4 linked regions of the Canis lupus familiaris genome follow. The protein of the gene in region 2 interacts with the protein of the main gene of each other region in a pairwise test. Links are inferred from orthologs where the notes say so. Each region holds a gene or a part of one and is shown on either strand. Other genes may lie near its edges.

Region 1 (7,052 bases), on a different chromosome or scaffold from region 2:
CTGGATGGGCCGAGGGAGGAAACTCAACGCGGCCCCCGCTGCGCGCCCTACATAACATCCACAAAGAACTCACTGGGGTTACCCATGGCCATGTGGAAGCTTTGGCGGCTAGCTGTCAGTTCTGGGGGCACAGAGCCCAGGTCTCTGACAGGAGGGGCCCCTGGGGGCTGCACTGCTGGTGGGACAGGGGGTGGAGGGGGGGGCATCATGACCACCATCATGGGATTATAGGGGAGGGCCATCCCCGGGGGTGGCCCATAGGGATGGAGCCCAGGGTGGGCTCGGAGATTGGGGACACCCCCTGACGAGCCTCTGGAAGGGGGAGGGCCCCCATCACCAGCCCCACCCGGCTCCCCGCCCCGCCGGAGGCTGCCCCCACGGCTGGAGGGCTCAGACTCACTGCCGCTGCCGGACTTGGACTCAGGGGCCCGTTCCTCGGGCCTCCCTGTACGGCCTGCCCCCCCATCGCTTCGTGTTGACCCACTGCTCCGGCTCCCTGTGGAGGTGGAGGGGATGAAGCCGCCTGAGCCCTGGCCCAGTGTCCCTTGGCCTTCCTAGTTCTCTGGGCCATGCCCACCACCAGCGCTACCCGCTGTCAGACCATGACTTACCCTCGCTGTGCTGGCTGCTGGCACTGCCGCCACCATAGGTGTAGGATGACAGCTCGTGGTAGGGGGGCGGCTGCGGGCTGTATGGGTGTGGAGTTGGGTACTGGTAGGAGAAGGTGGGCAGCAGAGGCCAGGGGGTCGCCCCAGGCAGAGGAGCCAAGGTGTCCTGGTCTGAAGCCCCACTGGAGCCATCGTTGTCATTCAGAGACAGGTTGACCAGGTCTGGAAAGCAAAAAAGGAGATGGAGAGTCACTGCTTCAAGAGGCTGGGATGTCAGGCATCGCAGAGGAGCTGATTCCCTGAATCATGCATGATGGAGGTGAAGACAAGGGCCTCCGACAGGACACTCCTCGTGTACCACGGCCATTGCTCCCAGGGCCACAAGTACCACATGCTCTCGTGAGACTCCAGAGGAGATAGCACCCCCTCTCTGCCCGGGTACCCCAGCCCTGCACCCAGGGCCAGCCTGGCCACAAAACACAGGGGGATATTGTTGGCCAGGGCAGGTCCCAACGCAGGACACACACTGCTTAACAGTGGCCCTGGCTGGCTACTGGAGGTGGAACGAGGCAGTGGGGACACGCAGACTTACAGCTCTCACAGCCGCCACTGAGGTCTCCGAAGACGTAATAGCACTGCTCAGAAAACGTGATCTTGTTCACAGTGTGGCGGATGAGGCCCGCCTTGAGCAGCCCGCTGGCATACTTGCGGGCCTCCCGCCGCTCGGGAAAGCCCTCCACGTGATGGTAGAGCCAGTCGACCACGTCCGAGCCTGAGATCAGAGAGCACTCAGGTTCTCCTCTCCAGCTCCTGCCTCACCCCTGCCTCACCCCTGCCTGGGCCACCACTGCCACCTTATCTTCATGCCACCTGCCTGGGGCCCAACCATACCCAGAAAGGCGTTAGGGATGGTGATCTTGAGCCACATGCGGTCTCGAACTTCCAGTCCAGACTCCGGAGCTGCCATGGCCTTGGTGACAGATGCCATGTCCGTATGAATGGACAGACCCCGGCCCTCACAGCCTATCGGAGAAGAAATGAGGAGTAGAGACCGGGCCACACACTGCTGAAAGGCCTCCCAGGGAGGGGAGGGTGAGGTGGGCTGGGGGCTCACCCTCGGGCAGAGAAGACCCGGATGTCATGGTGCTCATGGACGAGGAGCCCGGGTAGGTGGGGAAGGTGCCAGTCAGTGCAGCCGAGTGAGACACCCAGGCAGCTGGGTCGATCGGCTGGATGGGCTCATCTGGGACAGAGAAGGTCCCCACAATGATCGTTTCCCTGCCACTCCCCAACTGAGACCCCGACCCCCATCCCACCTCTGCCCTGACCCTCCTCCACCCCTTCCTGTCATCCTCCTCCCCTGTAGCACTCACTTCGAGGAAGAGTGAAATAGGCCTGGGGAGACGGATCCCAGCACTTGGCCACAGTCAGCACAATGGGGCTGTGGGGAAGGGGAGACGCAGTCAGGCAGGGGCGGGGGGGATGGGGCGAGGCTTTGCGAGGGTGAAGGATGGACAGAGACACAGACAGACCAGGCTGGAGAGCTGAGCCTGGAGGCATCAGTGAGGGTGACCCACCAACACAGACAACACTAGAAATGAGGCTGAAACACAGAACCACACACACTCTATGTATGGGTCCATGCAGAGCCAGTCCAGGTCACAGAAGCTGAGCCCGCTGATCGAGGATGGGGACGGACACATGCACATGGACACACACACAAGGGGAGGGGAGGCAAAGCAGTGCAGTGATGACAGATGACAAAGGACACCAGGGCAGCGCTCCCTGCCAGGGAGACTGGTGAGGGGACTGCAGACTCTGGAGCACAACCCCCCAGCTCACGATCAGGTGGGGGTCATGCGGGCCATCCTCTGCCCCACGGTGATGTCACGTTATGGCTCAGCCCCTCTGGACACGCACCACCACGCCCATGCTAAGGGTGAAGCCACGGGCACCAGGAGAGCAGATGAGAGGTGGCTCACCCCGGCTTGTGCACGATGTCCCGCAGCACCCGCACTGCATCATCGTTGCTCATGTTCTCGAAATTCATGTCGTTGACCTGGAAGCCAGGTTGGCGAGTGAGTGTGGGTGAGAGCTTGTGAGACGTACCTGCCCCCCAGATCCCCCACAGGGCACCTGCAGCAGCATGTCACCCGGCTCGATGCGCCCATCGGCTGCCACCGCACCGCCCTTCATGATGGAGCCAATGTAGATGCCGCCGTCGCCCCGCTCGTTGCTCTGGCCCACGATGGAGATGCCCAGAAAGTTGTACTTCTCTGCAGAGCAGGCGCCCATGACAAGGAAGCCAGCCAGCGTTCCCCGGGGCCCCCGCCCTGGACCCCCAACCGGGGCCCCCTCGTACCCATGTTGAGTGTGACTGTGATGATGTTGAGAGACATGGTGGAGTCAGTGACGCTACTGAAGGACGAAGCCTAGCGGGGAGACAGGGAAGGCTTGGGTTGCCTCCAAGGACCCCAGATTCTCACTTTCTGGGCCCACATACCCCTGAGACCAAGGCTCCCTACGCCTGTAAGACGCAGCCATCCCGTGAGCTCCCCTCACCCTCTCCAGGCGGGGTGGCCGCTGTTTCCTCCGCCGCCGGTGGCGCTTGAGGAGGCGAGAGGCGCTGCTCTGCTCCGTGGAGCTGCTGAATCTGTCCGGAGGAGAGGAAGGGGAGTGCTGGCTGGCAGAGCAGGTGGGGGGGGGGGGGGAGGGAGGCAGAGACCAGCTTGGGCCTGGAGGACATCACCCGGTGGCGCTGGGAAGTGCAGGGCTGGGTGCCACACCTGCTCATGGTGTCATCCTCATCGGAGTCCCCCAGGCTAGTGCTCTCCAGCTCGCTGGTCATAAGGGTTGAGGAGCTCTCATACCCGGCCAGGTGGCGCTCCAGCCTCGAGGGTCCACCAGGCCTGTGGCCCCCTGCTGTGGAAGAATAGAACCTTCAGGGACCTGGCCTCAAGCTGCCTCCCCCATCACAGGGGGGCCTGAGCCCAGCCCCCAGCTCCTGGGCTCCTGGGCCCCCCTCACCACCGTGCTCACTGCTGTCTCTCCTACGAGGCCGTTCCCGCCGCAGGGACACCACTGACTCGGTTTCCGTCTCAGGCTCCAGGTTCTCCCGGCTGCTGGACACGTTAGGGCTAGGTGGACAGAGATGGCATGCGACCGCGTCAGGGGGACGGGGCTCCGTGTCCTCAACCTCCCCCTGCCCAGGGTCTGGGGTCTCCTCCTTGCCTCCCTCCCCCGGACTAAAGAATCCCAGAGACTCACTGGAAGGACGGAGGCCTAGAGTCCCCGATGCCGCTGGTCCTCTCCGGTGGCAGGGGGGGTAGCGGTGGGGGGGGCGGTGCCAGCTCTGCCCGGGGCTCGTGGGCTGGGGGAGCCATCTCGGGTTGGGGGTTCTCTGACGACACCAGCTGGAAAGATGCAATGACAAAAACTGACTCAAGCAAGGAGGGAGGCAACCGAGGTGGGAAGACAGGAAGAACACAGGGTCTGAGCAAGCACGTGGCCTGCGAAAAGCACAGGGAAAGCAGGAGGGAGCGGTAGATGCTCCAGAAGAAGGCTGAGGAGCTACAGCTGGCTCCCAAGCAGGTGGAGTGGTGAGGACCCAGACTGACAGGACCCTGGCAATGCGGGATGGACAGGGCTGCTTACCCAGGACACCACCCTCCCGTTGAAGCAGGGAAGGCGGGCGTTGTCATCTGAAATCTCCTCCTTCACCACCCTGCCAGGAGGGACAACACAAGAACCAGTGAGATCGCCCTAGCGCCCCCCACACGCACCCCGACTCGAGGCTTCTCATCTTCGTCCAGCTCAAGGACGATGACTTTCATGCAGCCGGCCAGGCCCTCTTCCCCAACACCGAGACACTTCACTCTCATGCCCCGGGAGTCTCCAAATTCACTCACCCCCTTTCCTTCCTCCTCCTCCTCTCCCCAGCTCATCCTCGGCTTTCAATGCTGGTCCAAAGATTTCCTATGCTGGTCCAAAGATTTCCTAGAGTCTGAGTCAAACCTCATTCTCCAATCTCAACGACCGTCCCACTCCCTCAGGTGACCCCAACTGCCCCAAAGATCTCTAACCTTTGGTGTCTCTAACAGCCCAGAATGACCCCAAACCTCCCTGAGCCCTACCCCGCTCCTCAAGGCACCGTCCCCAAACCCTCCAAAGTCTCTATTCTCATGCTTTCTTGGTTTTCTCTGAGTCATGTCCAAAGCCCTAGCCCAACATGCTACCTTTCCCCCACGAAAATATACCCATGAGACCCAAGGATGACACCTACTGGCTAGGCTGAGCACTCCCAAGGAGAGGTGAAGCCCACCTTCCCCTTCCCCCGGGGCTCATCTGGCACAAAATTCTACACTGAGCAACCTGTTCTGCCTGACGGACCTCAAAGCCCAGCCTTGGGGTCATTCCTCCCCTGGGTTCCTTGGGATGGACAGGACTTTGCCCCTTCTTCTCAACCACCACGTGGGATCACCACAGCCTATTCTTTTTTTTTCTTTTTTCTTTTTTTTTTTTTTTAATTTTTATTTATTTATGATAGTCACAGAGAGAGAGAGAGAGAGAGGCAGAGACATAGGCAGAGGGAGAAGCAGGCTCCATGCACCGGGAGCCTGATGTGGGATTCGATCCCGGGTCTCCAGGATCGCGCCCTGGGCCAAAGGCAGGCGCCAAACCGCTGCGCCACCCAGGGATCCCACCACAGCCTATTCTGTTCAACACTGCATCCTGGCCACACAGCAAAGACCCTGATGGTGGTAAAGTGAATGTTAATAAATATCTGTTCAATACTGTTAACGAGTATACTTGTTGAACAAGTATCTCATGAACAAACACGAGCTCTGAGAGACTGAGTATTGAACAGAAGGTCTCTCTCATACTCACATCCTCACCTCCAAATTAGGACAGCCTGTCTGATTAACCCTTTACCCTAATATGGTTCTAGGAGCCTGGATGCGTGACAACTTAATCCCACTTGTTATCGATAGGGCCACTCAGCCCAATCCCTACCACTGCTCTGTCTCGATATAATGCTGGATTCTTAGAGATGTAACCCAGTCCCGGCGGAGCCCAGCCCGGCAAATGATTCCACTCTCTATCACCATAACCCCGTTTACAGATTAGCTGAGCTCGACGCTAGCGATCATCACAACTCGCTAAAAAATTACTGTGCATCGCTTACCTATACGAAGTTTCTTGTGCCAACTGTGTCTATCTCCTGGGTCATATCATTGCTAACAAACAGGAATTTCGATCTAAATCAAAGGTAACTCCCAACACAGTCCCACCTTCCTCACGGCCAACGGTCTTTCTCAGTAGAAGCCAGTCCATTCAGCTATCCCAGAACATGGGCTGTCTCAGGCCAATCCAGCCTGCCTTCAAGAGCTGAGGCTGGCTACCTGGAGAACTCAGCCTCAAAAACCATAAGCAAATTTATTATTAAGAATCCAAGTCTGGCCCAGAATGACTCCAAACACTCCAGAATAGCCATATTGGGCTATTTTAGCAATGACCTACAACGTCTCCACACGCAGCCGTCCATACCAATATAGACCAGATTATCCCAATACAGCTGTCTGCACTGGCATAGCCTCAAAAACCTTGTCTGCCTCTCTACAGAGCGTCCCCATGAAACACTTGACCCCAACAGAAACTTAAGATCAACCAACACAACCCAGAAGAGACAGAAGAGCAGGAAATTCTTCCGAGAGAGCCTGGTAATCTGCTCCAAAGCAGCCTAGAACATCCCAACACACCCTTTTCTGCACCAGAACAGGCCAGATGTCCCCAAACAATCTTATCTGCTCTAGGATGGTCTAGAATGCCCTAAAGCACCCCAACACGGCCCAATCATCGGGAGATTCCACAATACTGCCCGTGGGCCGCAGGACTGCTCGAAAGGCATCGGATTACCCAGAATAACTCCCAAATAAACCAGTGTGCCCCATTCTATTCCAGGACAGCCTAATCTTTCCTGATCTGGTTCGGCACGGCCCGGTGTGTCGTCCTGGAGCTCCGTGCGTCTCGATTTGTCCAAGCGTAACCTTACCCAACCTGGGATGCCCAATCTAACCCCCGCATAATGCCCTGTCCAGCACTCCAGCCCAGAAAAACCCAGCGTGGCCTAGGGCCGACCTGTGCCCCTCAGCAGTGGCCGATCCACCGCCGCGCAGCCCCCACCGGTTCCAGCCTAGGCCTCGCGCTCACCCGAAATCCTGATCCATAGACTTGAAAAAGTACTTAGCGCCCGCGGGCCGCTGCAGGACGCTCTTGAAATCACCGAGGGTGATGCGCTCCGCCGGAACCGGGATCTTCACCAGGTAGGGAGTCTCCTCCTCATCCAGGTGGTAAATCACCTTCGTCTCCCCGACGCCGCCGCCCCCCGCGCCGCTGCCCGCCATGGTCTCGCCCGCGCGCTCCCAGGTCCCGCCGCCCACCCAA
Region 2 (8,013 bases):
AGGAGGAACAGGAGTTTCCAAGGAAAGAATTCAAGAAGAAAGCTTTAGGATTATGTCAACTTTGAATAACAAGTCCACTAGTGATATCTGGCTTTGGAGATGGGTCTTATCTTTGACTCTTTTTTTTCGCCCCATATTTATGAGAGTGAGAGAGAATGTGCGTGCATGTGCGTGCACAGAGGGGAGGGGGGGCAGCGAGGGAGGGGTGGAGGGAGAGGGGCAAGCTGACTGCACTGAGCAGGGAGCCTGAAGCAGGGCTCCATCCTAGGACCCTGAGATCGTGACCTGAGCCAAAGTCAGACACTTAACCGACTGAGCCACCCAGGTGCCCTGACCCTTTTTTTTTTTTTTTTTTTAATTTTATTTATTTATTCATGAGAGACACAGAGAGAGAGGCAGAGACACAGGCAGAGGGGGAAGCAAGCTCCAAGCAGGGAGCCCGATGTGGGACTCGATCCCGGGTCTCCAGGATCACACCTTGGGCCGAGGAGGCGCTAAACCACTGAGTTACCCGGGCTGCTCCTAACCCAACAGGTCTTAAACAAAACAAAACAAAACAAAACAAAACAAAACAAAAAAACAAAACAAAACACCATATGTGGGAGGGGGGGCACCTTTCCAGATGTTTGGCACAAAGAATCTATTAATGCAGGAAACTATTCCTCCACTTAACCAAGTTTACTTCACAACCAGACCTCTTATTGAAGAACTTAGGCCAAGTGGTCATCTATCATGCTGCCCAGCAGTGAAGCCCAAGGCTATCTGGAAGCAGTAGTAGGAGCACAAAATGAACAGGAGGCCTGGGAGGCCAGGTTAGTGCCTAATCCGAGCAAGAGAAAGCCATCAGTCTGGATCCATCAAAGCAAAACCTACCCTACCCCCCCCCCCAAAAAAAAAAGCAAAACCTACCTTTCAGGCATGCTCGTATGTAGTAGGAGGTCTAATGGCAGATAGGAGATAGGAAAGTAGCAGTCACAGTAGCCAGTGTGGAGTACAGTGGGGGCGGGGGGGGGGTACTAACTGCCGTTTCCTTGTTGGAGCCTCCCTACATCTAACTGATCTCATTAAGTATTCACTCTTCAAGGGGATCTTTTCATTTCTTTTGCATAAACACTACTCAGCACCTAGCCCAGAGTCCACATGGGGGACCTTAAAGGAAAACCAATGGTAAGAAAGACAATCTCACAACATCTTAAGTTACCAAGAGGAATGGGGGCAGCAGCACCAAGTTGCATCACAACATTCCTTCCCCCCCATCAGAGAGCAACCCTGCAGGGACCAGGGATCAAGTGGTGCAAGACCTGCTATTAGAACCAGCCCCAAAGGACTATTCTGGAAAGGAAAACCTCTTCACTGCCAATTGTGAAAACGCTTCTGCTTCAACAGGACCAGCACTCACCGACGTGTGAGGGTCTGGCTTCTAGAGCTGCCACTGGCCCTACTTCCCCATTTCCTGGTTTCGCCCCAGCACACCCTCTCTGCAATGACCTATTTTTACCTCAAAAATACTGATACAAAGATTCCTGTAGCTGCAAATGAACCTATAGACACATGGTCCTCTCTGCCAGGAAAAGGATAACCCTTTGAAATGGGGCTATATTTACAAATTTTATTATTTTTTATCCCAAAAATACATATAAATGAAAACCTGCTCTTCAAATGCAGGGAGGCCTTTGCCTATAATGTAGTATTACATTTACATCACAAAACATTCTCGTATGAAAATCAGTATATGCAGTTCTTTCACTCACACTTTTATGTATACACACACACACATACACACAGTATATGTAAGTAGTTACGACTTTGCTACTTACACATATTCCTCTGATGGGAAATTAGGAAATAGGGCAACTCCCTTGCTTTCCAGCCTTGGGAAGGTAAATACAACCTCTCTGAACATTTCTTAAAAAGATGAAATGTGTAAACTACACAACCTCCTTTACACATATACAATGCAGTTAGAATAAAACAAGGACCCTGCTACATAGATGCCACTGTTTTGAAAAGAGGAAAGAGATAATGTTTGAATAAAAATGCAAAGTTGAACAGATAAGATGATCAAAATTGTTATGCACATGCTCTATGGAAAAATCAGAATTGTCTCACAAGGAAACAGATCCATGACCCATTTCGGCCTCTTGTGACGTTAAATCAGCACCCACTGGCAGTAGCCAGGATCTTCCTTCCTGTACAGTCGTATGCTTAAGCAGTTTCCATAAAGCATTTGTTTAAGTCCAACAGTCAATAATGAGGTCATGTGGTAAATTCCCACCCCCCCAAAAATGAAGTGCAAAATCAACTTCTGTGACTCAAGAGCTCAACCAGGTCAAAGCTTTGGTATATACTGGAGGCTGTTTTGGTGACAACCAAAGCTTAGTATAGGATTCTCTGTTCAGGGGTTTGCCCCACAAACAAAAACAAACCCAGTCCACAGAGCTTAACAACTATATAAATAAAGTAACTGTACAAAGAGAACAAGCCACAATGCCCCTTGAACCAAGGGTTTGTAGTTTCCTAGGCGGCAGTTCTGAAAGCACCAACTAAAGCCACAATGCTTCTACTGAAACATGATGTGTTGGTGACACTGTTCTGAAAACAAATGCCCACAGGCAAGGGGCTGATGTGCCACAGAAAAAAGTTCAACCAAATAGAAGTCAGTTTTCTTATACTATAACATAAGATGGTCAGCAACAGAGGAAAGACTTAAGGCAATAAGAGGCAATACAGAGAGCACCATGGTGCTCTGAGTCAATCCCAAAACCTTTAAAGAAAGAAAGGGTCTCAAGAGTTTGGGCTGTTTCTTAGTTTGCTAGCTGTCAGATACTTCCTCCTCCTCCTCGTCATCCTCATCTTCTTTCCTGTCTACTTCAGAGGTGTCAGAGGACTCGTGAAGCAGGACATACTCTCTGCTGCTGAACCCAAATTTAAGTACATCTTTTTCCTTTAGTTCATAGTATCTCTGTGGCTCAATACGCTTGTTGTTCAAGAACGTTCCATTGCCTGAGCCAAGGTCAATGATGTAGGGCCTCACCCTTCGGCCAACTGTCCCATCAGCACGGGTATATTCCACAAGCCTAGCAGAGATAAAAGAGAGAAACTTGTGAGCAAAATCCCATTTCAGACCATCCAACATTTCGCTAACACAACCAAGATGATATAAATTATCTGGCTTGATACAGTTCAAGTCCAAACTCTAGGAAACCAAGGGGCAAGTACGGCCCTGGATTTGGAAATTGGGAGTAAGTAAGTAAATATACTTAGTAGAACTGCTTGCTAGGGGGTAGGGGAAAGTCATGGAAGACCAAAAGTTTAAAAATCAGAATCCAAGATCTCTTGCCACGATTAAGAAAATACATATTTGTGTTGTTTACAACCAAGATAATGCTTCTTTCACCAGTATTTCAACATATTTTAGCTCCTGTCCCAATGAGAATAAAGCAGTGGATTTTGACTTCAGAGTCAAGGGAGCTAATTTTGAACCAGATCATTTACTAGGCTCTGCTGAGCTTCAGTCTTCTTACTTGTCGAATGGGGATATTAACAAGTGACCTGTCCTCCTCATAGGAGTGTTGTGAGGATCAAACAGTAACAGATGTCCTACACAAACTGTCAAATACAGATTAACAAGCACACATGCCAGACACTCTCAGGTACACTTCCATTTAACCCTAAAAACAGCCCTATGAGATAGGGAGAAACTGAGGCCCAGAAAATGGCTTGCCCAGGCCAAACACCTGGAAGGTGGCAGTGGCAATGGCAGGATTCAAAATCTGGATTTCTGACACCAAATGCGACGCTTTCAGAGAAATGGAAGTGATTATTCAAAGGGCAGTTAGATCGGTACTCTTAAGACCAAGATTAGATCTGAATATGGGATTCTTCTGCAAATACATGTACACAAATGTCAGTAATCCTGAAACTCTCAGCTCTGCCCACGCTTCTGATTTTTCCCGCAAACAGACTCACCGATACTGAAAGACTGCGTGCTGCTTGGAGCAGGAGGGATGATCAATTGGGATGTCCGCTATGCGGCGGTGCCGGCCCAGGAGGTAGGCGCTCTGCCGGTGGATGTACATGACAGGAAGCACCTCGTCATTTTTAAAGGGGTAGAGGCGCCATCGTTTTTTGGGGATACGTGCCTCTGGGGGCTCACTATATTTAATGACGACACCCCGGAAGGTGTTAGTGTCCTCAAGAAGTGCCCCAGAAAGTTCAAAGCTTGGCTTTTCTTTAGCGGGTGCCTCTTTGTCCTTACTGTTGCCACCAGGCCGAGGAACCAACTCCTGAGACTCCTTACCACCAGCATTAACTTCATTCTTCTGGCGATTCTCTCGTCGTCGGGCATCGTAAAACTCCCGCTCTGCATCCTGAGCCTGTAGATTCTGAATGTCTCGGTCCCGTCCCTGAGCCTGCCCGCTCCCAGGCCTCTCGTTAGAGCTTCTCCTCTGGTGGGAATGGCCCCTGTGTCTGTCGCGGTCACTGTTCCTAGCCCGCCTGTGCTCCTGGCCCGATGGTTCCCGGTGCGGCCGTTCTTCACGTCCTCTCCGGGGATGATCCTCGCGTTCCTGAAATCCAAACAGATCCAGTATATATAAGGCAGTCCACACTCTGAACAACTGCGTTCAAAAACCCATTTGGGACTTGGACTTTGGCATTTAGAGCAAAATATCCGACAGAAATAAGGTTAGCAGTGATAGTTATATTCCCTTGCAAGGCTACATAGACTATTTCCATGCTGTCACCCGACTACAGCTCTAATGCTGCAAGCCCAGGTTCAGAGCCCTAGAAACAAGAGGAGCTGGGGCACACTTATAGGGAAGCATATACAGAAAATATAACAGAGTTAAGTAGTCATGTACAAGATAAACATGTAAAGAAAAAAAGCTAGTTTTCTCTTAAATCAAAATGAAAATGTAATGATATTAAAAGATCTCATTGCAACAATTAACAGAAATTGTTCAATAACTAGTATTACACTTAAGAAATATCCAAGACATGTAATAAGAAACCTATAAAAATTTGCCGATAGATCTGAAAAAAATAATAAACATACTATGGTTTCTTGAAAAAGACTCAGTATTGAAAATCAGCCTGGTAGAAAATGCAACATAATAACATCTATTAATAGTAAAAAAATAAATCAATAAGAAAGACAATTCAACAGGAAAAAAAATTGGCAAGGATAGTAACAATTTTCCTAAGAAATAAATATCTAAAGAACACACGAACATAATAAGCTTATCCTTACTGATAACCAAAGCATCAGAGTTCAAGAGGGAGCCCTACACACGATGAGCAAGGCTACCCCACCTGGAAAGGGTAAAGAGGAAATCCTGAGCATTGAGATCTCACTGCCTCCCCTGCTCCCAAGGCCTTATCCCTGCTACACACAGGTGTCAAGTGCAGGACTGCTTGCTCAGAGCAGAACTCAAGTTTTCTAGACTTCCTAGCCTCCAAAGACAAGCATCAGATGCTCATTCCTCCGACCTTAAGATACTCCCAAGTTTGCCACCACCACTGACCAGGACTAATCTCATGATTCCCTTTATCCCTGATTAAATGAGTCACTACAAGAAGCCACAGACTCTGGGTCATCACCCTCAACTCCCTTGTATTCTAATCCCCATAAGGCTCTGTACATCCACTATTCCAACAACCAACTGATTCTCAGTCTTCATTTTAAAGATGTAGCACCTGGCTGGTTCAGTAGGTTAAGCGTCCCACTCTATTTCTGTTCCGGTAATGATCTCAGGGTTGTGAGACTGAGCCCCCTCCGTGGGGAGGTCTGCAGGAGACTCTCTTTCTCTGCCCGCCTCCGCCCTGCTTCGCACACTTTTGTGTGCTCTCTCTCACAAAACAGTAAGTAAAAATAAATTTAAAAAATGTGTAGACCAGGCAAAATCAGTGAAAACTATGGAAAAGAATATGACAAACTGGGGTGCCTGGATGGCTCCGTGGCTGAGCATCTGTGTTCAGCTCAAGTCATGGTCCCGGGTCAAGTCCCAATTGGGCTCCCCACAGGGAGCCTGCTTCTCCCTCTGGCTATGTCTCTGCCTCGCTTGCTGTCTCTCATGAATAAATAAATTAAGTATTTTTTTAAAAGACAGATATATGGGATCCCTGGGTGGCACAGCGGTTTGGCGCCTGCCTTTGGCCCAGGGCACGATCCTGGAGACTTGGGATCAAATCCCACATCGGGCTCCCGGTGCATGGAGCCTGCTTCTCCCTCTGCCTATGTCTCTGCCCCGCCCCCTCTCTATCATAAAAAAAAAAAAAAAAAAAAAAAAAGACAGATATATAACCGGATAACACAAAATAACTAAGATTTCAATTATCAGTAAGATAACATATATAATATGGTCCTTTTTTTTAATTAAAAATTTTGCATGGAAAACAGAGATGCGTAACTAAAACATAAAGGAAAAAAAGCGAACATAAGCATAATAGAGCCTTGAAGTATACATATCAAACTACTGAAATGGTTGCTGATGGGGAGTCAGGTGATTTGGGGGGAGGGGGCTGTGATTTTGGGGTATAACAGAAGTAACCATGCACTACATACACCACACTCTCACTTTTCACTTTATGTACTTCTTTGTTATTACAATGAGCATGCAATCAATAAACTTATTTTTTAAATAATAATAATAGTAAACATTTTTTAAATGGTGGCACAGGTGTGGAGAGAGAATGTCTGCAAGCACAAGTCATGCTCCGGTCAGAGGATGTGTGCATTCCTCCTTAGGATTAGCCCATGTGAAAGTCACTTACTGTCAACTGTCTGTCAAGCCCTTTTGCTTGAAAGCCATTTCCAAGTTTTCAGCTGATTAACACACAGAAATTAGCTTTTAAAGAGATAATTTGAGGTCAGGAGGAAAGTAGCATAGATACGCAAATGAAGAGACATCAAGGCTGTAATAAATAAGACAAATTGTCTTCTAAAAGCCCTAGAATTTATTATAAAATTTTCATTTAGAAACCACAGATATAGAGCTGCCAGTTGTACACCAAAAACAAAACAAAAAACAAAACAAAAACCCAAAAACTAAAGCCACCACTAGTGGTGGACAGGCCCCATTTGGGTGGTGTGGTTCTGGGGGCTGCATTCTGAGATAGCTGAAGCAGCACCTGATCAACTCACACTGCACACCACCAAGGCTGTCTGGCTTTCTATCTTTGAGATATTATAAAGCTGGCCCACAGTCTCTCAAAGTAAAAGGAAAATCTGTTTTCTTAATGTCTCTTTGCACACTGTAACATAGAGTTTCTTTTAAAAGACTGAACCCTTGTCTCTCAAGATTGAGGGCAAAAAAAAAAAAAAAAAAAAAAAAAATGATTGAGGGCAAAGCAAGGGTTGTCTGCTCTCACTACTCTCATTCAACACAGTGCGGGAGTCCTAGCCAGTACAATAAGGCAAGACAAGGAAATAAAATGCAGACTGTAAAGGAAGAAGTAAAACTATCCCTATGTGAAGATATGATTGTCTATGTAAAATATCTCAAGAAATCTATAAAAAACTCGCCTGGAATAAATAAGCTGAGTTCAGTGAGGTCATAGGATATAAGAAAAACATAGAAATATCAATTATTATTTCTACAGATTAGCAATGAACATGTGGATTGAAATTTAAAGTATCACCTATAGGGCACCTGGGTGGCTCAGTGTCAGTTAAGCATCTGCCTTCAGCTCAGCTCATGATCCTGGGGTCCTGGTTTCGAGTCCCATGTCCCACATCAGGCTCCCTGCTCAGGAGGGAGTCTGTTTGTCCAGCTCCCTCTGCCCCCTCCCCTCTGCTCATACACACTCTCTAACAAAATCTTTAAAAAGTAAGATATCAGTTATAATCAGCTCCCCCCCCAAAAAAAAACTTTGTGTAAATATAACAAAATATATAGAGAACTTAAATCCTAAAAACTACAAACACTGAAGAAAGAAATCCAAAATCTAAATAAATGACTTGAACAGTGTTCATGGAGTGGAAGATTCGATATAATAAGCCAATTTTCCCCA
Region 3 (8,453 bases), on a different chromosome or scaffold from region 2:
GCCTCTCTCTCTCTCTCTCGCTCTCTCTGTCTCTCAAGAATAAATAAATAAAATCTAAAAAAAAATTAAAAAAATAAAAATTTCCTTTAAAACATCATTTGAAATTCTGATGCATCTCAAATAAATTTTTCATTTTTATTAATAAATTTTTTTCCGTTAGGCTCCACACCCAACATAAGCGACTTGAACTAGAGACGAACCCTGAGATTGAGTCCTATGCTCTACCCACTGAACCAGCCATGTGCCCCCAAATTTTTAATTTTTGAATTTGCAGAGACTAGGTTTATAATTCATCATTCTTTCTGTGAGCACCTAACATAATATATGTAAATTTACTGATTGCTAATTAGGTAGGTATATTTTAATTCAATAAATTCAGAGCATTCACAAATATCCTAGGTGGCACACGTAGTTCTCTCTTAATTTATAGAAAAGATTGACAAGATCACCTTAGGGTCTTTAATCTTCTTAGAAAGATTTTTTTTTTCAGTGAGACTTTTCCTAAAAAAAAAAAAAAAAATTTGGGGCAGCCCGGGTGGCTGAGCGATTTAGCACCGCCTTCAGTCTAGGGCGTGATTCTGGAGACCTGGGATCAAGTCCCACATCGGGCTCTCTGCCTCTGCCTGTGTCTCTAGCTCTCTCTCTGTGTCTTTCATGAATAAATAAAATATAAAAAAAAAGGGATCCCTGGGTGGCGCAGTGGTTTGGCGCCTGCCTTTGGCCCAGGGCGCGATCCTGGAGACCCGGGATCGAATCCCACATCGGGCTCCCGGTGCATGGAGCCTGCTTCTCCCTCTGCCTGTGTCTCTGCCTCTCTCTCTCTCTCTGTGTGACTATCATAAATAAATAAATAAATATACAAAAAATATTTTATTTATTTGAGAGAGAAAGCATGAGTATGAGCAGGGGGAGGGGCTGCTTAGCCAACTGAGCCACCCAGGTGCCCATTGGTGAGCATTTTCTTAAACACCTCTGAAAAGGTTGGTGTTTTTTGGTTTTCATTTTTTTTTTCTTTTCATAGTTACTACTGCCATCTAGTAATCATAGTATATAATTCACGTACTTATTTTGTTTATTTTCTGCTTCTGGCAGTAGAATGTAAGCTCCATGAGGGCAGGGAGATTTCTGTGAGCTTTGTTCACTGCTGTAGACTCAATACCTACCATCATGCTACAGAATAGATATTTGGTAATTATTTGTTGAACAAATGAATGTAAAAGATCTAGCAGATAGATTGTGCCTCCCATCTAATTTTTTAAAAAAGATTTTATTTATTTGTTTATTTATTTATTTATTTATTTATTCATTTATTTATTCATGAGAGATACAGAAAGAGAGAGAGGCCGAGAGACCTAGGCAGAGGGAGAAGCAGGCTCCATGCAAGGACCCCAATGTGGGACTTGTTCCCGGACCCTGGGATCACACCCTGAGCCAAAGGCAGAAGCTGAACCGCTGAGCTACCTAGGTGCCCCAAAACCCAGGGCCTCCTTTGTTTTTTCTTCTTTTTTTCAGAATTTATTTTTTTAAGTAATACACCCAACATGAGGCTCGAACTCACATTCCCAAGATCAAGAGGCGTGTGCCCTACTGAGCCAGCTAGGGGCACCCCCTATAACCGCTATAGTGTTAATTGATTCAGGCAAGCATCATCCATAGACGCTAAACCCACAGAGTGAAAGATTCTTGGGGAAGGATACTCACAAAATTTCAAAGTACTACCCCACAGGATTTTTTTTTAATTTTTATTTATTTATTATAGTCACAGAGAGAGAGAGAGAGAGGCAGAGACACAGGCAGAGGGAGAAGCAGGCTCCATGCACCGGGAGCCCGACGTGGGATTCGATCCCGGGTCTCCAGGACCGCGCCCTGGGCCAAAGGCAGGCGCCAAACCGCTGCGCCACCCAGGGATCCCTTGTTTTTAAAATTGAAGTGAAATTCACCTAACATGAAGTTAATAATTTTAGAGTGCACAATTCAGTGGCATTCATACATCCACAATATTGTGTCACCACCATGTCTTTCTAGTTCCAAAGCATTTTCATCACTACAAAATAAAACCTTATATCCATTAAGCTCTTGCTCCTCATTTCCCCTCCCCCCAGCCGCTGGCCACCACCTATCTGCTTTCTGTGGATTTGCTAATTCTAGATGTTTCACATAAATGGAATCATGCAATACAAAACAGACCTTTTGTGTCTGGCTTCTTTCCCTTGGCATAATGTTTTGAGGTTTATCCATGTTGTAGCATGTATCATTCTTCTTTTTCTTCTTCACTCTTTTTATGGGCTGAAAAATATTTCATGGTGTGTGTATACTGCAATTTGTCTATTCATGTGTTGATGGATACTTGAGTTGTTTCTAACATTTTGGCTCCTGTGATTATTACTGCCATGTGCATTTGTGCACAAAGATTTGAGTACCTGTTTGCAATGGTTTTGGATATATACCGAGGGGTGGAATTGTTGATAATTCTTTTTTGTTTTTTGAGGAACTGTGAGGCTGTTTTTGACAGTGATTGCGCCATTTTACATTCCCACCAGCAATGTACAAGGATTCCAATATCTCAATATCCTTAACAAGACTTATTTTCCATTGATTTATTTGTTTTTTTTCATTTTTATTATTATTTTTTTATCTATTTGTTTTTAAAGATGTATTTATTTGAAAGGGTGAGAGTGAGTGGGGGAGGGGACAGAGAGTCTCAAGTAGGATCCCCACTGAACGCTGAGCCTGTGGGACTCAACATGGGGCTTGACATCCGGCTTGATCTCAGAACCCATGAGTTCATGATCTAAGCCAAAACCAAGAGTCTGACACTTAACCGCTTAACCAACTGGGTGATCAAGGCAACCTTTATTTTCTATTAAAAAAACATAGTCATCCTAGTAGGTGCAAAGGGGTGTCTCATTGTGGTTTTGCTTTGCATTTGTCTAAGGAAATTGAGCATCTTTCATGTACTTGTTGGCTATTTGTATATCTTTGGAGAAACGTGTATTCAAGTCCTTTACTCGTTTTGAACATAGACCACTTTTTTAAGTAGAAAAGAATAAAAGCTGGCCTTACTATAGAAAAATGATTAAATGTAACATCACGAATAATGAAACAAACTGACATCATTTCCTTTCTGTTGCAACATACTGAGATGGACACAATATCATCCATATAGCGTACTTGCCAAAATTATTTAACTTGACTTTAACAGGGAACAGATGACTACAAACTGAGGAACATCCTGCAGAACAGTGAATTGGATTCCTCAAAAGAAGTCAATGTTATAAAAGAGAGAGAAAAAAAAAAAAAACCCAACAACAACCAGGGATTATTCTAGACTAAAGGAGTGTAAAAAAGACATGGCAATTAAATGTAATGGACGATTCTTGATTGTATCCTGGATAGGAAAAAAGTCAGCTACAAGGGACATTTTGAAAATGTGAATATGGCCTCTGTATTAATATTAAATTTTCTTGGTATGATAATGGAATTCTGATTGCGTAGAATATCCTTGTTCTTGGTACTTATTGACATGTTAAGGGTAAAGAGTAACGATGCAAAAACTTCAATAATTCAGCAAAAACGAAACAAAGGAACTTCCATAGGCACACATACACACAAGGAAAGCAAATGTGATGAAATGTTAAAAATCGGTGCATATGGGTTAATACGGGTGTTCATTATATTTTTCTCGTAACTTCTCTGTAGGGTAGATCTTTTTGAAAATAAAAAGTTGAGAAAGTACTTAACTAGAGAGAACAAACTGATGGTTACCAGAGGGGAAGTGGGTGGGGATGGCTGAAGTAGGTGCCGGGGATTAAAGAGTCCACTCCCTCTGGGTGATTAAAATAAAAACTTAAAAAAAACATGTTGAGAAAGTAAAAGTTCCATCAAGTCTGAGCAGCGCTTTCAGTTCTTTGGTTTTAGCATCTTTAGGATCAGACTAGTTACTTTGGTCAGCTAAGAACACAGTCGTAGAACCAGAGAGAGTCCGCGGTGGGGCGGATATCTTTCCAAGACACTGTAATTACTTAAACAAACAAAGGAAGAGAGTGCAGTTGTCATTCGGACCCACTATCAGCTTGATTCCCATCTTTATCAGGCGGCATGATCCATGGAAAGGCTTTGGAGTCAGCTAGGCCTGAACTTGCACGGTCCCTCCGCAAACTGTTCAACTACTTTGGACGTCGTCGCCTCCTCGCTGTAAGACGTAGGCAACAACTGCTTGGTGCGATTGTTGTGTTAAATCGTCAGACGCTTGGTGTTTGGCGAGCTGGGCTTTAATTCAGGTGCAAAGAACCCAACAAAACAAAACAACGACTTCATCACGCTTTCCATGCCGTTTGCATCTTTTCCCTCATTACGCTCCAAGCCCGCAGTGGGGTTAGGTGAGGCGGAAGGAGGAGAGGACTTCCCCAAGGTCACACGCTCGTGCGGGTCCCAGGTGTCCCCGCTCCCGGCCCTGTGCCCTTTCCACAGCCGCCAGAGGGGAGCGGGCGGCGCTCATGGGGATGCAGGGATGTCGGGGAGCAAAGGGGGCGAAGAGGCCGCGCGAAGAGCGGTGGTGCGAGACCCGCGGGGGCGCCGGCCGAGGAGGGGCGCGCGGGGAGCGCGGAGAGGCGGGGGGCCCGGGCCGCGGTGCGTGGGGCGGAGGCCGGGCGGCCGCGGCCGCGGGGGCGGGGGGCCCCGGACGCGGGGGGCGGGGGGCGGGGGGCGGGGGCCGGGCGGCCGAGGGGCGGGGCCGGGGGCCGGGGCCGGGGCCGGGGCGCGGGGGGCGGAGGCCGGGCCGCAGGCTGCGCGGCCGGGGCAGGTGGGCGGGGGGCGGGGGGCGGGGCGGGGCCGGCGGGGGCGGGGCGGGGCGGGGGGCGGGGCCGGCGGGGCGGGTCTCGGCGGCCCCCCGCGGGGAGCAGCGGCAGCGGCGGCGGCGGCGGCGGCGGCGCAGGCGCGGTGGCCGCCTCCTCCCGGCTGGCGGAGCGAGTGGAGGAGGCTGCAGCCCGGCCCGGCTCGGCTCCCGCGTCGCCGCCGCCGCCGCCGCCGCCGAGCCCCCCGCCCCCGCTCGGCCGCGTCGGGATGAGCTCCCGGAAAGGTGAGTGGCCCGCGGCGAGCCCTCCTCCCCGCCGCGCGGCCCCTCCGGCCGCCGGCCCGACCGTTAATGGGTGTCTTCTCTTTCCCCAGTGCTGGCCATTCAGGCCCGAAAGCGGAGGCCGAAAAGAGAGAAACATCCGAAAAAGTGAGTCCGTGCCCCGCGCCCCCGGGCCCCCGCCCCCCCGCCCCCGCCCGGGCAGGGCAGCCCGCGGCCGCGCAGGGGAAAGTTGCGGGATCCCGGGGTCGGCGGGCTCGTCCCCCCCCCACCCCCCGGGGACGCGGGCGCTCGCCTCTGCGCCCCGGCGGGCGGCCCGGGGGGAGGGGCGGGCGGGCGGGCGGGGGAGGGCGCGTGCGGGCCCGCGGTGCCCGGCCGAGCACCCTGGACCCTCGGACCCCGGACCCGCTCCCGCTCCCCCGGCGGCCGCCCCTCCCTGCGCGCCGCCCGCCGGGGTCGCTGGCGTCCCCGCCCCGCCGCGCCGCGTGCGGGCGTGAGGCTGCTGCTCGGCTCGCACCTGGGCACCGGCGCCCGGGAGCCGTGGGCTCCGCGTCCTCCGCGTCCTCCGCGCGCTCCGCGTGCTCCGCGTGCTCCGTGGGCTCCGCGTCCTCCGCGTGCTCCGTGGGCTCCGCGTGCTCCGTGGGCTCCGCGCGTGTGTGCGCGCGCGTGGGGCCGGCCTCCTCTTCCCCCCCGGCTCCCCGCCTCCCGGCCTCTTTGCGGAAAGCCGGAGCCGGGTGTCCAGCGGCCGGCCCGGGGGTGCCTGGCGCCAGCCCAGCTCCGAGACCTGAGCGCGCCGGCGCCCGCCGGGTCTCCAGTCGAAACTTTGCGCTCGGGCCGAGCCGCGCTGCGCCCCCGCCGCCCCGGGAGCTGGCGGGAGGGGGTCCTGCTGGAGCCGTGCCAGCCCCCGCCCCGCCCCGCCCCGCCCCGCCCCGCCCCCCAGTCCGCGCGGACCCGAGGGGGAGCCTTTCCTGGAGAGCCGCTCGGAGACCGCGCAGCGCCCCCGCCCCTGGCTTTCGGCGTCTTTCGCTCCTGGATGCGTGGCTTCTCCCTTCCTGTGGAGCGAGACACACTCCGTGGCATTGGGGGTCTTGTAGGGAACGGCGGCCCGTGATCATCCTCAGGACCGGGTCTCGGGGGATCGCCCTGCGGCGTTCCTGGGCTTCCCCCTCCTCGGCGCCTTGGTCTCTTGCCTGCAGAATTTCCTGCCCTCCCTGAACACTGCCCTGAGGCCTCACCAGCGCGGTGCTGCTATCATGACAATTTTTCTGTTCACTCGAGATGGGATAGGGCTTGTAAAGCATTTTCAGGGTTTTCCAAAATGGGCATCTCGCTATAGTTAATGCCTTTTCTTGGAAGACAAAAAAAAAAAAAAAAAAGATTATATTAGAGTGACGGAAACATACTTATGAAGGAATTGAGGAACTGGTGGGTAAAAAAAAAAAATCTGATACTGGATTCTTAAAAGGTGAAAACGGGATGGACGCGGTAGTTGGAGATGCTTTACAAAATGACTTGGCCAGCTTTCAAGTCAGGGCCTTAAATTTGGGATTTCCTTTGAATGTCGGAAGATGAAGCCCGCGAGTAAGGAAGAACTGTAACGTTTAGGATCCTGAGTATTGGGTTTTAAAAACAACCTTAAATACAAAGCATTTATTTTCACATATTGCATTATGTTTAGAAATGTAAAAGGGAATTGGAAAAAAAGCGCGTCCTCGGTTTTGGGAATGGCTATGTGTGTGTATACACGTATGTAATGTGTATGTTGTATGTGGGCATGCGTGTAGAAAAGCAGTTTTAGTTAACTAAGTCAACACGTATTTCATATTTTCATGTTTCAGGGAATGACTATCCTAATGGCCAAGAGCCTTTTTTGGTCTGCTGCAGTTTGGATTTATGTGGTATGTTTATAAAGAATTAGCGTATATCCACAATATCCAGTTTTTGCTCTCAGAGATAACTGTACCTATGTGGTAAGATTTGAGGGAAAAGCCCCCCAGGCAGTGGCAGAGTGACTTGAATGGTTTGCAAGGTAATTAACAAGAGACCAGCCCAATTATATAACAGATTAATGGGGTGCCATTTTTTGCTTAATTCTTTGAATTAAGACACTATTTTAAAGGAATGCTTGATATGATTTATTCACATATTCAACAAGTATTTGCGTGCCTTTTCTTGGAGTTGGTGATGGAGCTTTGAACAAGAAAGTCAAAGCTCCTCATGAAGGTTATATTCTGTGGATATTAGGGGGACCACCTAGGAAGATGACAAATCAGGATGGCAACTTCAGGTAGTGCTAAGGGATAGGGACCAAATTAAGATGAGGTGCCTTAAGTGATAGTGATGACATTTGAACACTGCGCCAGGCACGGTGCAGATAGCTTTACACACCTCTTATCCCTTGTGACAACACTAGAAGGTAGGCACTGTTATTAGTTACCATTCTACAGATGAGCAACTAACATTTCCAGAAACTAGAATGAGGAGGAGGAGATGGGAGTGTGGCAGAGGCCTTGGGGAGGACTGGACTAGGAATGTTAGAAGACCCTAAAGGTCAGGGTGACTGGAGTGCTGCTGGAGAAGGTGGGGCCATGGGAGGATGAGAGCAGGTAGGGCCTTGCCCTGTAGGCCATCAGAGGATTACCCATGGGAGTGACAGGGTCGGTTCCTGTTTTAAAAAGAGCACTGGCCATCTGTGGAGAATGGATTGTCAGGGGTAGGGAGAAGTAGAAACTGGGAGCTGGCCTTCCGTCTATGAAGGAAACCATGGTGACTTGGTTCAGGGTGCAAGCAGTGGTGCTAGAAGTGGTGGAAGAGATTTCAGGAGAGGCCTGCTGGTCTGAGAAGTCCTCATTTTACAGTCAGCCCTGACAGAGGTGATAGTCTGGACCAGAATTCAGGTCTCCTGATGCCCAGTGATTTTATTTTTTCATTAATTCTCCAGTGGAGGAAAAGGAATAATAGGTCTAATTTTAAACCATATAAATAAAAAGATTGGCGAACCTAAATTGTGTAACAAACAACACGGGCCTGGTTTGATGTAATATGATCTACTTTTGTCATTATCCACTTGTATACACAAGCTGACTCTTCATTTTCATTCAATTCATTTCTGTGAGCTTTTATGAATTGAGCCAGTTCCCATAGGCTACTTTTTTAGTACGCTGGAATTTATGGTTGTCAGGAATAACATTAAGATTTCTCTAGTTAGCTGAGTCAAAAATTTAATCTTGTCAGATTGTTCCAGTGAGTTTAGTTTGCTAATTATTAATTGAGCTGCTTTGTGAGTAACATGCAGCAGGGAGGGATGACAGTGTCAATTCAATCGTGAATCTCAAGAATTAGCTAAATCATATGGCTTGGGGTAGTGTTGCTTTGGGGCATG
Region 4 (8,013 bases), on a different chromosome or scaffold from region 2:
TTTCCTGAAAAATAAAGAACCCAAACAGTCATTTCCATTACTACTTGGACCTTGACCTTTCGTACATTCTTAATTACTTTTGTGTTTAAAGCTGTATGTCAGTCTAGACGGTTAGAGGCACCAGGAATCTGACAAACAATTCAAGCAGTAGTACTGCGTCAGTAACCACGGTCTCCACAACTGGGGGCCTAAACTGGAAACAGCGTGGCTATGTTCAGTAGTTCAAAGGACTACTGGAAATCTTTGCTTCGCATCCAATAAATAACACAAAGCTAAAAAGATCAGGTCTCTTTGCCACACCAATAAGCTCATGCTCATCACTTCCTCTAATTTTATTTATATCTGACTTTAATTTTTAAAACAAAAGTTTATCGATTACTGCTTTTCAAAATGTATTTGGTCTAAAGATATGAAAGAATAAGGGTTAAAAAGGGGAGGGGGCACTTGGATGAGAAAATGTGGGGAACCGCAATAACATTTAGATTATTTAAAAAATAATCATACTCAGTTTTCATAAAAATCCAGGCTAGTATTCCCCTTAACTGCACCATAATAAGTAGGTCATATAATAATTATTCCAATAAGTGCTAACATAAAGGAAGAATGAAAACTACTTTCTTGCATTGAATTTGGGTCACTTACCTATCCATTAAAGCATCTTCAAGTAATGGTGTTACAGCATATATGTAGTCCTTTCCCATTTCACCAATATATTCAAACAAGAAGGAAAGTGATTTTAACACTCCATTTTGAACATTCAGCTCAGGAACTCTGTATTCATTCATTAAGGCAGGTAGTACCGTGAAGGGTGAACATGTTTCGGCGACAATAGCTATTGCTACAGTGGTACAAACTCTGTTCTGCCTTTCCTGAACTTTGAGGTTGTTTAAAAGTGTAGCCAATACATCATGAGGGCTGAAAAAAAGCAGTATGTCAGCAAACTGTCAGATTAAGTATCAAATCTTTTTTTGGAAAGAAAAAAAAAAAACGCAAAGGAAAAACTGTACATTAAACAATTACTGGGAACTTTGTAATTTTATGATAAAATATAATACTCTAAAGTAATTTGGCACTGGCATTTGTTTCTACTGAAGAACGTCATTTATTTTTTTTAAGATTTTATTTATTTATTCATGAGAGACAGAGAGAGAGAGAGGCAGAGACAGGCAGAGGGAGGAGAAGCAGGCTCCATGCAAGGAGCCTGATGAGGGACTCGATCTCAGGAATCCAGGATCAGGCCCTGAGCCAAAGGCAGACGCTCAACCACTAAGCCACCCAGGCATCCCAATAATTTCATTTAAATTAAAAAATCTTTTGAAGAAAAAAATTTAATGGGTTCATATTTTTTAAATGTGTTTTACTTAAGATTTTGAGAGAGAGAGAGAGAGAGAGAGAGAGAGAGAGAGAGAGAAAGAGAGCGCACGCACAGATTGGGGGGAGAGGGGGAAACAAGGAGAAGCAGGTTCCCGCTGAGCTCCCAGCTGAGCCAAGAGCCTGATGTGCGGGTCAATTCCAAGACCCTGAGATCATGACCTGAGCCAAAGCAGATGCTTAACCGACTAAGCCACCCAGGCGCCCGTGGATTCAGTCTTTAATGAACTTCCTAATATAAAGAAGCTTAATTAAATGTTTAGACTGAACAATTCTAGAATGGTCAAAACATGGCCAGTAGAGCTAGGCAATATCCAAACTGTGGTCTCTCATGCCCCAACACACAAGATCTACTTTCCTTATCTTCTCTCCCATATACCTTATTACATACGTATACTTCTTCCAGAATTTATTTTACCACAAACTTGGAAAGACACGGGAGCTAAAAAAAAAACATAAAAGCTACTCACTGCAAATGTCTTGAATATATCACTGCTGAAATAATTACTGCTACCAAAAAGAGGGTGAAGGGGTGAGGACTCTAATTAAGCTGACTTTTATTATGTTTTACCGCTTGAAAATATTGTCAAAAAAAAAGAAAGAAAAAGAAAATATTTTGTCATTAAGCCCCATGTATACATGGTATCTCATTTTCTAAAATGACTATTTTTTTCTAGTTTGGTTCTGAGGAAGTGGAAGTAAATAACCATAGATTATCTAACAGTTACAATTTCAGTTGTTGGTGGATTCATCTTAGATAAATATTTTTAAAACACAAAGTATTGGGGTGTCTGGGTGGCTCGGTCTGTTAAGTGTCTGCCTTTGGCCCTGGTCATGCTCTCAGGATCCCAGAATCAAGCCCTGCATTGGGCTCATTGCTCACTGGGGAATCTGCTCCCTGCTCCCCCACCCACCCCCGCCCTTCCCCCAACCTCATGCTTGCACTCTCTCAGATAAAATCTGAAAACAAAATAAAACAAACACACACAAAGCATGAACATGAAACTTAAATTATGCTATTTTATTAAGAACTGGCCATAACATTTTTAAAAAATATCCTGAAAAAGACCAACAAAAATTTGGAATGATTCTAAAGATGGTACCATTTTCCTTTCTGAAAATATCTGCGGTGTGATTAAATTAAAATATAAGACTCTCCATCTAGGGGTGCCTGGGTGGCTCAGTCAATTAAGCGTCTGACTCTTGATCTCAGCTCAGGTCATGATCTCAGGGTCATGAGATTGAGCCCCAAATTTGCTTAGGACTCTCTCTCTCCCCCTCTGCCACTCCCCACCGTGCTTACTCTCTAAAAATAAATAAATAAATATATATATATATACTTTTTTTAAAAACCTAAAGCTCTCCTATTTTAATTCAATTTGAAATTTAAGAAAACATCTCAAATATTGAAGGTCATCGGTTAAATGTGCTTTTTCTCAATTGCATTACTCATACCATGCCCTTTAGAGATTACTTAAGAAACAAGTTTTTCAACACAATGGGTTTATTACAAAGTTAAAAACATATGTATAAAAGTAAGTAATACTCACCCAATGGCCTTTGCAATGTAGCCAAATGTGTTGACTGTGGCTCTACGAATAGCTTTTTTGTGAGCTTTTAAGAGCTCCAGAAGTTCAAAGCAAATCCTCATCCATTCTCTTGCAGACACATACTCAGCTCCCCTATTTAAAAAGAAAAAAGTTAATTTGTTCCATAACAAGAAATTTTAGAAGGTAATCTTACAAAAATTCAATTCTCAAAACATGATTACCTACTCAGTTTAAGCATTAAATAAAAAAATGTTACTCTTCAGAAAGGATGGTTTAATCTTAAAACTATATTGCCACCTCTTCATTACCATCTAAATTGAAATTTCACTGAAAATTTCACTGGGTAGTCTTATCATATATACTTCTATTAACAACATTAAAGAAATGTGCAGTGAATAAAAAGTGGCTAACTGTTAAAACCAAAAGCTCACAACCAACCAAACAGCTCATAAAAATGTTTAAGTAATCTACTTACCTGTCAGCAATACGTCCAACAAGATCAATACAATTTTCTTGTACTTTTTCATGCCTGTTCTTTAAGATGGGGGTGAGTCTAGGCAGGAGATCTTTAATTGGTGGGGTCATCTTATGCATACCTATTTAATAGAAGTCAACACACTATCAATAAACTCTTGAACAATACCCTTTGTTCATTTTACCTTTTACTTAGCAATGTAATACACATGACTAGGCATATATATAAACTTACAGCTGCCTATGGAAAGAAAAAGCCCCAGATTCTGACCAGACTCAGTATTGTTTTTAACTTTTTATTAAAACTTCTGATTATGCATAGAAATGAAAGAAATTAGTGAAGTGATTTAAAGAATGATGGGATACTCAACAACAAAAAAAAGTTTTATCTGGTTCTGAAATGTATTTGTACACTCACATTTAAATATGGGGACAGTTTATGTTCCGGCCATACACAACAATATAAGCCAGAGGTAGACATGTAAATTAAAGCAAAATTTTCCAGGAAGGGCCCCCTTACCCTTTAACTGCAAAACAAACAGATCTCCAGTCTCCCTGCAATGCAGGGCATACTTGGATGGTATTTACACCTATGAAGAGAGAAAAAAGGAGGCAGCTGGCAGGGGCTCTTGCTCTAACTAGAATTGCTTGTTCTGATTCTCTCTCCATTGCTTTTCCCATGTTTCCCTGATCAACAATATGGTTTACAACTCCCTGAAAACCAGAGCCCCACAAGTGGCCAAGTAACTGATTTTTGGCAAATCAAGTATAGAAGACAGGGCTAGATTGGGGGTTATATGTAAATGCAATGGTTCAAAGATCTCCTACATTGCATAAAAACCCCTTACTAAATAAAATGAGAAAAAGTGGCTCTCACAGCCAGCTATTCTGACCTCCTGCTAGGTTATTTTGGCTCCTCTGAACCAAAGAGAAGTTACTTTCCCAACAGTCATGTTCAATTGCAATGAAAGATTAAACACAAGAGACCATTTGTTTGCTTCATCATGATGTCCTTAAATAATAAAATCTTCGCTCTCCATACCCAAGAGCATTTGTAATATACTCCTATCTTTACTTTGAGTTTGAAAACTGAATGGATAAAGAATTAGATATAAAAATGAGACCACAACTTGAAAAATTCACTTTCTCCCTGGTTATGTTACTGGAACATAATAGCCAACAGAAAAACCTGCCATAATCATTTACTAATTCAAGGTTAAATATATATTTTGTCCTAAAACTAAACTAAAACTTCAGCATTGTCTCCTCCCACCCTACCCCCCAAATACATTTCAGGTGAGAAACTATTTTTATTAGGATTCTCTATTCCATTGGACTTCAAAGTTTTTTGAGTTGTAACTATTCCCACTTCTCTTACAGTCCTAAACTTGCCCTCTTTTCTCGTTTTAAAGTACATAAATGAGTTTTAGGAAACAAGACTATTGTGACATCCTGACTTTACTCTAATTTTAAAGTGCTTAAAAAACAAAATCTCAGAAATCACTCAACTCCTAAATATAATTCTATATTTTACTTTCAACAAAAAAGTTTAAAAAACAAAACAAAAAAATTCTTACATGACCAGCAATTTCCATACCTATTACATTTACAATGGCCTTCAGTGCTCCCAGAATGCTGCCCAATACTTCAGGGTACTCTTCACCCAAATATTCATACAAAACAACACCCAAGTGCCCCATCAACTTTTCCTGTAATAATAAAAAAAAAAAAAACATGTTAAAATGTTACCATTTACATGAAACTATATGGTGAGGAAATAAGAACCTCATACAAAAGTTTACCTCTTGACAAGTCTTCATGACAACAGCAGTTCGAGAGATCAAGTCAGCTGCCTGTTGCCTGACTTTTGCTGATTTGTTATTTAAACGCCACAAAACTGTACCACAGATCTGAGGCAAGTAAGGTTTGACTCGTTTGCCAAGAGCATTGACCACTGTGCCGAAGCCATTCAACATTACTGAGTCCTAAAAAAAAAAAAAGCTGAGTTATATTTTTAAACTATATTCACTGAGAACTAGATAATTCCGTTTGTGATTGAATAGTTTAAAAATACTAATATAACAAAATGTAATCTAAAAACTTAAGTAAGCGTATTTCCTCAGACAACTGGAATGAGAACATGAACATTTAAAACATTTTAAATCCAATTACATTTTAGTGATAATTACTTGCTTGAAAAGTAATGTGTTTTACAAATATGAAAGTCAGCAGCAATTTGCCAAAATAATTAGTATCCTTACCTCTGTAGTCTGTTCTTGGAAAGCATAAAGAATACCATCAATCAGCTGTTCTTCAAGTTTATGATCAATATCTGCTGCTCCCAAGTTGCCCATAATTTTCTCAATTGTCTCCATCACCATTTTTCTGTACTGTTCAGCTTCATCTTTCAGATCATCCACAATTCTGGATATAATTTCTGCCGCACCTACTTTGTTTGCCAACTCCACAGTAGTATCAACTAACTAAAAAGAGAAGGAAAAAAACCTTTTAGATATATTCAGGTCTGCAAAAATGCTGAGAAGAGTTAACTCCGGTTTTAAAACCCTTAAGAGAAAGGTGACCAAAAAACATAAATGTGAGTAGAAGTCAAAGTGATTTAAGGTTAGACTGTAATCATGTATTCCTAGCCAGATTAAGCATTTCATTTAACTGACAAAGACATTAATTCATAGTTGGGTATTTATCCTAGGATGCAAAATCAAAACGAAGTTAAATGGTTGACTAAAATCAATTTCCTTTCACAATCAGGCACATACTATGAGGTAACCAGGAAAAAAATAATACGTTAACATTTATTCACTCTGACTGAAGAATTAGTTGAAAGCATTTTTTAAAAATATTTTTTAGGGGGGATCTCTGGGTGGCGCAGAGGTTTGGCGCCTGCCTTTGGCCCAGGGCGCGATCCTGGAGACCCGGGATCGAATCCCACGTCGGGCTCCCGGTGCATGGAGCCTGCTTCTCCCTCTGCCTGTGTCTCTGCCTCTCTGTCTCTCTCCGTGTGACTATCATGAATAAATAAATAAAATCTTTAAAAAAAAAAAAAAAAAAATATTTTTTAGGGACGCCTGGGTGGCTCAGCGGTTGAGCATCTGCCTTTGGCTCGGGACGTGATCCTGGGATCCTGGGGTCCGGGATCCAGTCCTGCATCAGGCACCCTGCATAGAGTCTGCTTCTCCCTCTGCCTGTGTGTGTGTGTCTCTCATGAATAAAGAAATCTTTAAATAAATAAATAAATAAATACATACATACATACATACATACCCTTTTTAAAAAGTGGGGTCCATGACCAATGTGGGACTTGAACTCACAACTCTGAGATCAAGAGTCACATGCTCTACTCACTGAACCAGCCAGGCACCCCTTGAAAATATTTTTTACAATAAAAGTTTACCTGTCGGTAATTTCTTCTGTCCAAAGCCATTCTGTGTTGCCAGAAGTGTTTAAAAAAAGGAGGAAGAATCTCTGTTTTAATGTAGTTTGCTTCTACACCATCTGTTCCACAACACTGCTTCACCACCTAAAAGGTTAAAAAATAATAGTAAAATTGGCCTTGTAACACACAATAGTTGTTTTAACATTAACATTCTCTTTGAACCATGAAACACACCCAATTTACAGAAACAAATACGGGACAAAAATTTGAAACAATTACCTTCAGCACAATTTTCTTCATTTCTTCATCAGGAGATTGAAATTCTCGAATAAGGATTAACATCACTTCTCTAGTATAGTAGTTGGCATATTCTGCATCCATAAGAGGAATAAGATACCCAATAGCCTTTAAGAAAGCAGCCAAACCCTATTTTAAAATAAAAAATACATATAATTAATAAATTAGATTTAAGTTGCCTTAACTTCAGTGAAGAAAAATCAAAAGAAAAATAAAATCTATTTAGTTAACCAACCTTTCCTCTGTGTTGGCGGATACCCTTCCACAGAGGCTTTAACACAGAATCAAAAGATTCGATACCATATGGAGTTGCTGCTTCAGCCAAGGCAGCAATGGCCAAAGCGCTAATGGTCCGAACTTTCTGTTGCTCATCCACAAGACCTAGAAAACCAAACAAGGGTTGTAACTATTAAGTGATAACATTTCGTAATTTCCACAACCTCATCATTTAATCAAACTGCAGAAATCTGTTCACATTAGTCAAAATGAGGCAAAAGCCAGTGTGAATCACAGCCTCTAATTTAGATGTTACAAATCCCATCATAAACTATGTGTTGATGTAGTTGAAGCCCTTCCATTTATCTCTACAAATCAGTAGCCCAAATTTCTGGATACCTGTCTTATAAAAAGATAGACAAAGTTGTATTACAACTCACCATGTTCGATGATTTCAACTAAACTTCTGAGATGTGGCAAGATGGCACAGCCCATAAGAATAGCTATCTGCTGTACAATCTTAATACCAGTGTGTCTCGCTTGCCAGGACTTCTTGCTTTTACACACGGCTTTTAAGAAGGGCAACAATGAAGGAATGCCCAGGGCAGAGGCTACAACAGCAAAAGCTCTAGCTGTCGTGTTACGGACATACTCATCCATGTTATCTATATCAGGTCTCATGGTAGAAATCATAGTAGCCAGACCAGCAGC

Evidence for each region.
Region 1: the proteins of SNIP1 (region 2) and DVL2 interact in a two-hybrid assay, tested with the Homo sapiens proteins (2 studies listed by BioGRID and IntAct). The two-hybrid records come from large-scale screens. The link is inferred for Canis lupus familiaris from reciprocal best matches to the Homo sapiens genes SNIP1 and DVL2.
Region 3: the proteins of SNIP1 (region 2) and SRPK2 interact in binary tests that used the Homo sapiens proteins (3 or more experiments, as listed by UniProt). The link is inferred for Canis lupus familiaris from reciprocal best matches to the Homo sapiens genes SNIP1 and SRPK2.
Region 4: the proteins of SNIP1 (region 2) and SF3B1 interact in a two-hybrid assay, tested with the Homo sapiens proteins (2 studies listed by BioGRID and IntAct). The link is inferred for Canis lupus familiaris from reciprocal best matches to the Homo sapiens genes SNIP1 and SF3B1.

The regions. Positions count from the first base shown.
Region 1 is NC_049226.1:32,401,737-32,408,788, forward strand, and holds part of DVL2 (segment polarity protein dishevelled homolog DVL-2), read right to left. Parts: 5' UTR 7,013-7,052; coding exon 6,819-7,012; intron 6,731-6,818; exon of another isoform or gene 5,794-6,730; intron 5,118-5,793; exon of another isoform or gene 4,517-5,117; intron 4,333-4,516; coding exon 4,263-4,332; intron 4,022-4,262; coding exon 3,876-4,021; intron 3,746-3,875; coding exon 3,636-3,745; intron 3,531-3,635; coding exon 3,395-3,530; intron 3,262-3,394; coding exon 3,171-3,261; intron 3,041-3,170; coding exon 2,971-3,040; intron 2,885-2,970; coding exon 2,745-2,884; intron 2,668-2,744; coding exon 2,591-2,667; intron 2,050-2,590; coding exon 1,982-2,049; intron 1,852-1,981; coding exon 1,723-1,851; intron 1,632-1,722; coding exon 1,500-1,631; intron 1,381-1,499; coding exon 1,201-1,380; intron 831-1,200; coding exon 612-830; intron 497-611; coding exon 48-496; 3' UTR 1-47.
Region 2 is NC_049236.1:5,004,529-5,012,541, reverse strand, and holds the end of SNIP1 (smad nuclear-interacting protein 1), read right to left. Parts: intron 4,569-8,013; coding exon 3,970-4,568; intron 3,078-3,969; coding exon 2,813-3,077; 3' UTR 1,590-2,812; downstream 1-1,589. UniProt on the Homo sapiens protein: Required for pre-mRNA splicing as component of the spliceosome. As a component of the minor spliceosome, involved in the splicing of U12-type introns in pre-mRNAs. Down-regulates NF-kappa-B signaling by competing with RELA for CREBBP/EP300 binding.
Region 3 is NC_049239.1:15,284,220-15,292,672, forward strand, and holds the start of SRPK2 (SRSF protein kinase 2), read left to right. Parts: upstream 1-4,093; 5' UTR 4,094-4,098; coding exon 4,099-4,194; intron 4,195-4,481; exon of another isoform or gene 4,482-4,496; coding exon of another isoform or gene 4,497-4,629; intron 4,630-4,982; exon of another isoform or gene 4,983-5,061; coding exon of another isoform or gene 5,062-5,077; intron 5,078-5,166; coding exon 5,167-5,221; intron 5,222-6,909; coding exon 6,910-6,969; intron 6,970-8,453. UniProt on the Homo sapiens protein: Serine/arginine-rich protein-specific kinase which specifically phosphorylates its substrates at serine residues located in regions rich in arginine/serine dipeptides, known as RS domains and is involved in the phosphorylation of SR splicing factors and the regulation of splicing.
Region 4 is NC_049258.1:6,805,561-6,813,573, forward strand, and holds part of SF3B1 (splicing factor 3B subunit 1), read right to left. Parts: coding exon 7,743-8,013; intron 7,468-7,742; coding exon 7,322-7,467; intron 7,216-7,321; coding exon 7,069-7,215; intron 6,934-7,068; coding exon 6,808-6,933; intron 5,879-6,807; coding exon 5,657-5,878; intron 5,381-5,656; coding exon 5,198-5,380; intron 5,105-5,197; coding exon 4,993-5,104; intron 3,986-4,992; exon of another isoform or gene 3,916-3,985; intron 3,518-3,915; coding exon 3,397-3,517; intron 3,054-3,396; coding exon 2,922-3,053; intron 1,814-2,921; coding exon of another isoform or gene 1,786-1,813; exon of another isoform or gene 1,362-1,785; intron 916-1,361; coding exon 643-915; intron 1-642. UniProt on the Homo sapiens protein: Component of the 17S U2 SnRNP complex of the spliceosome, a large ribonucleoprotein complex that removes introns from transcribed pre-mRNAs.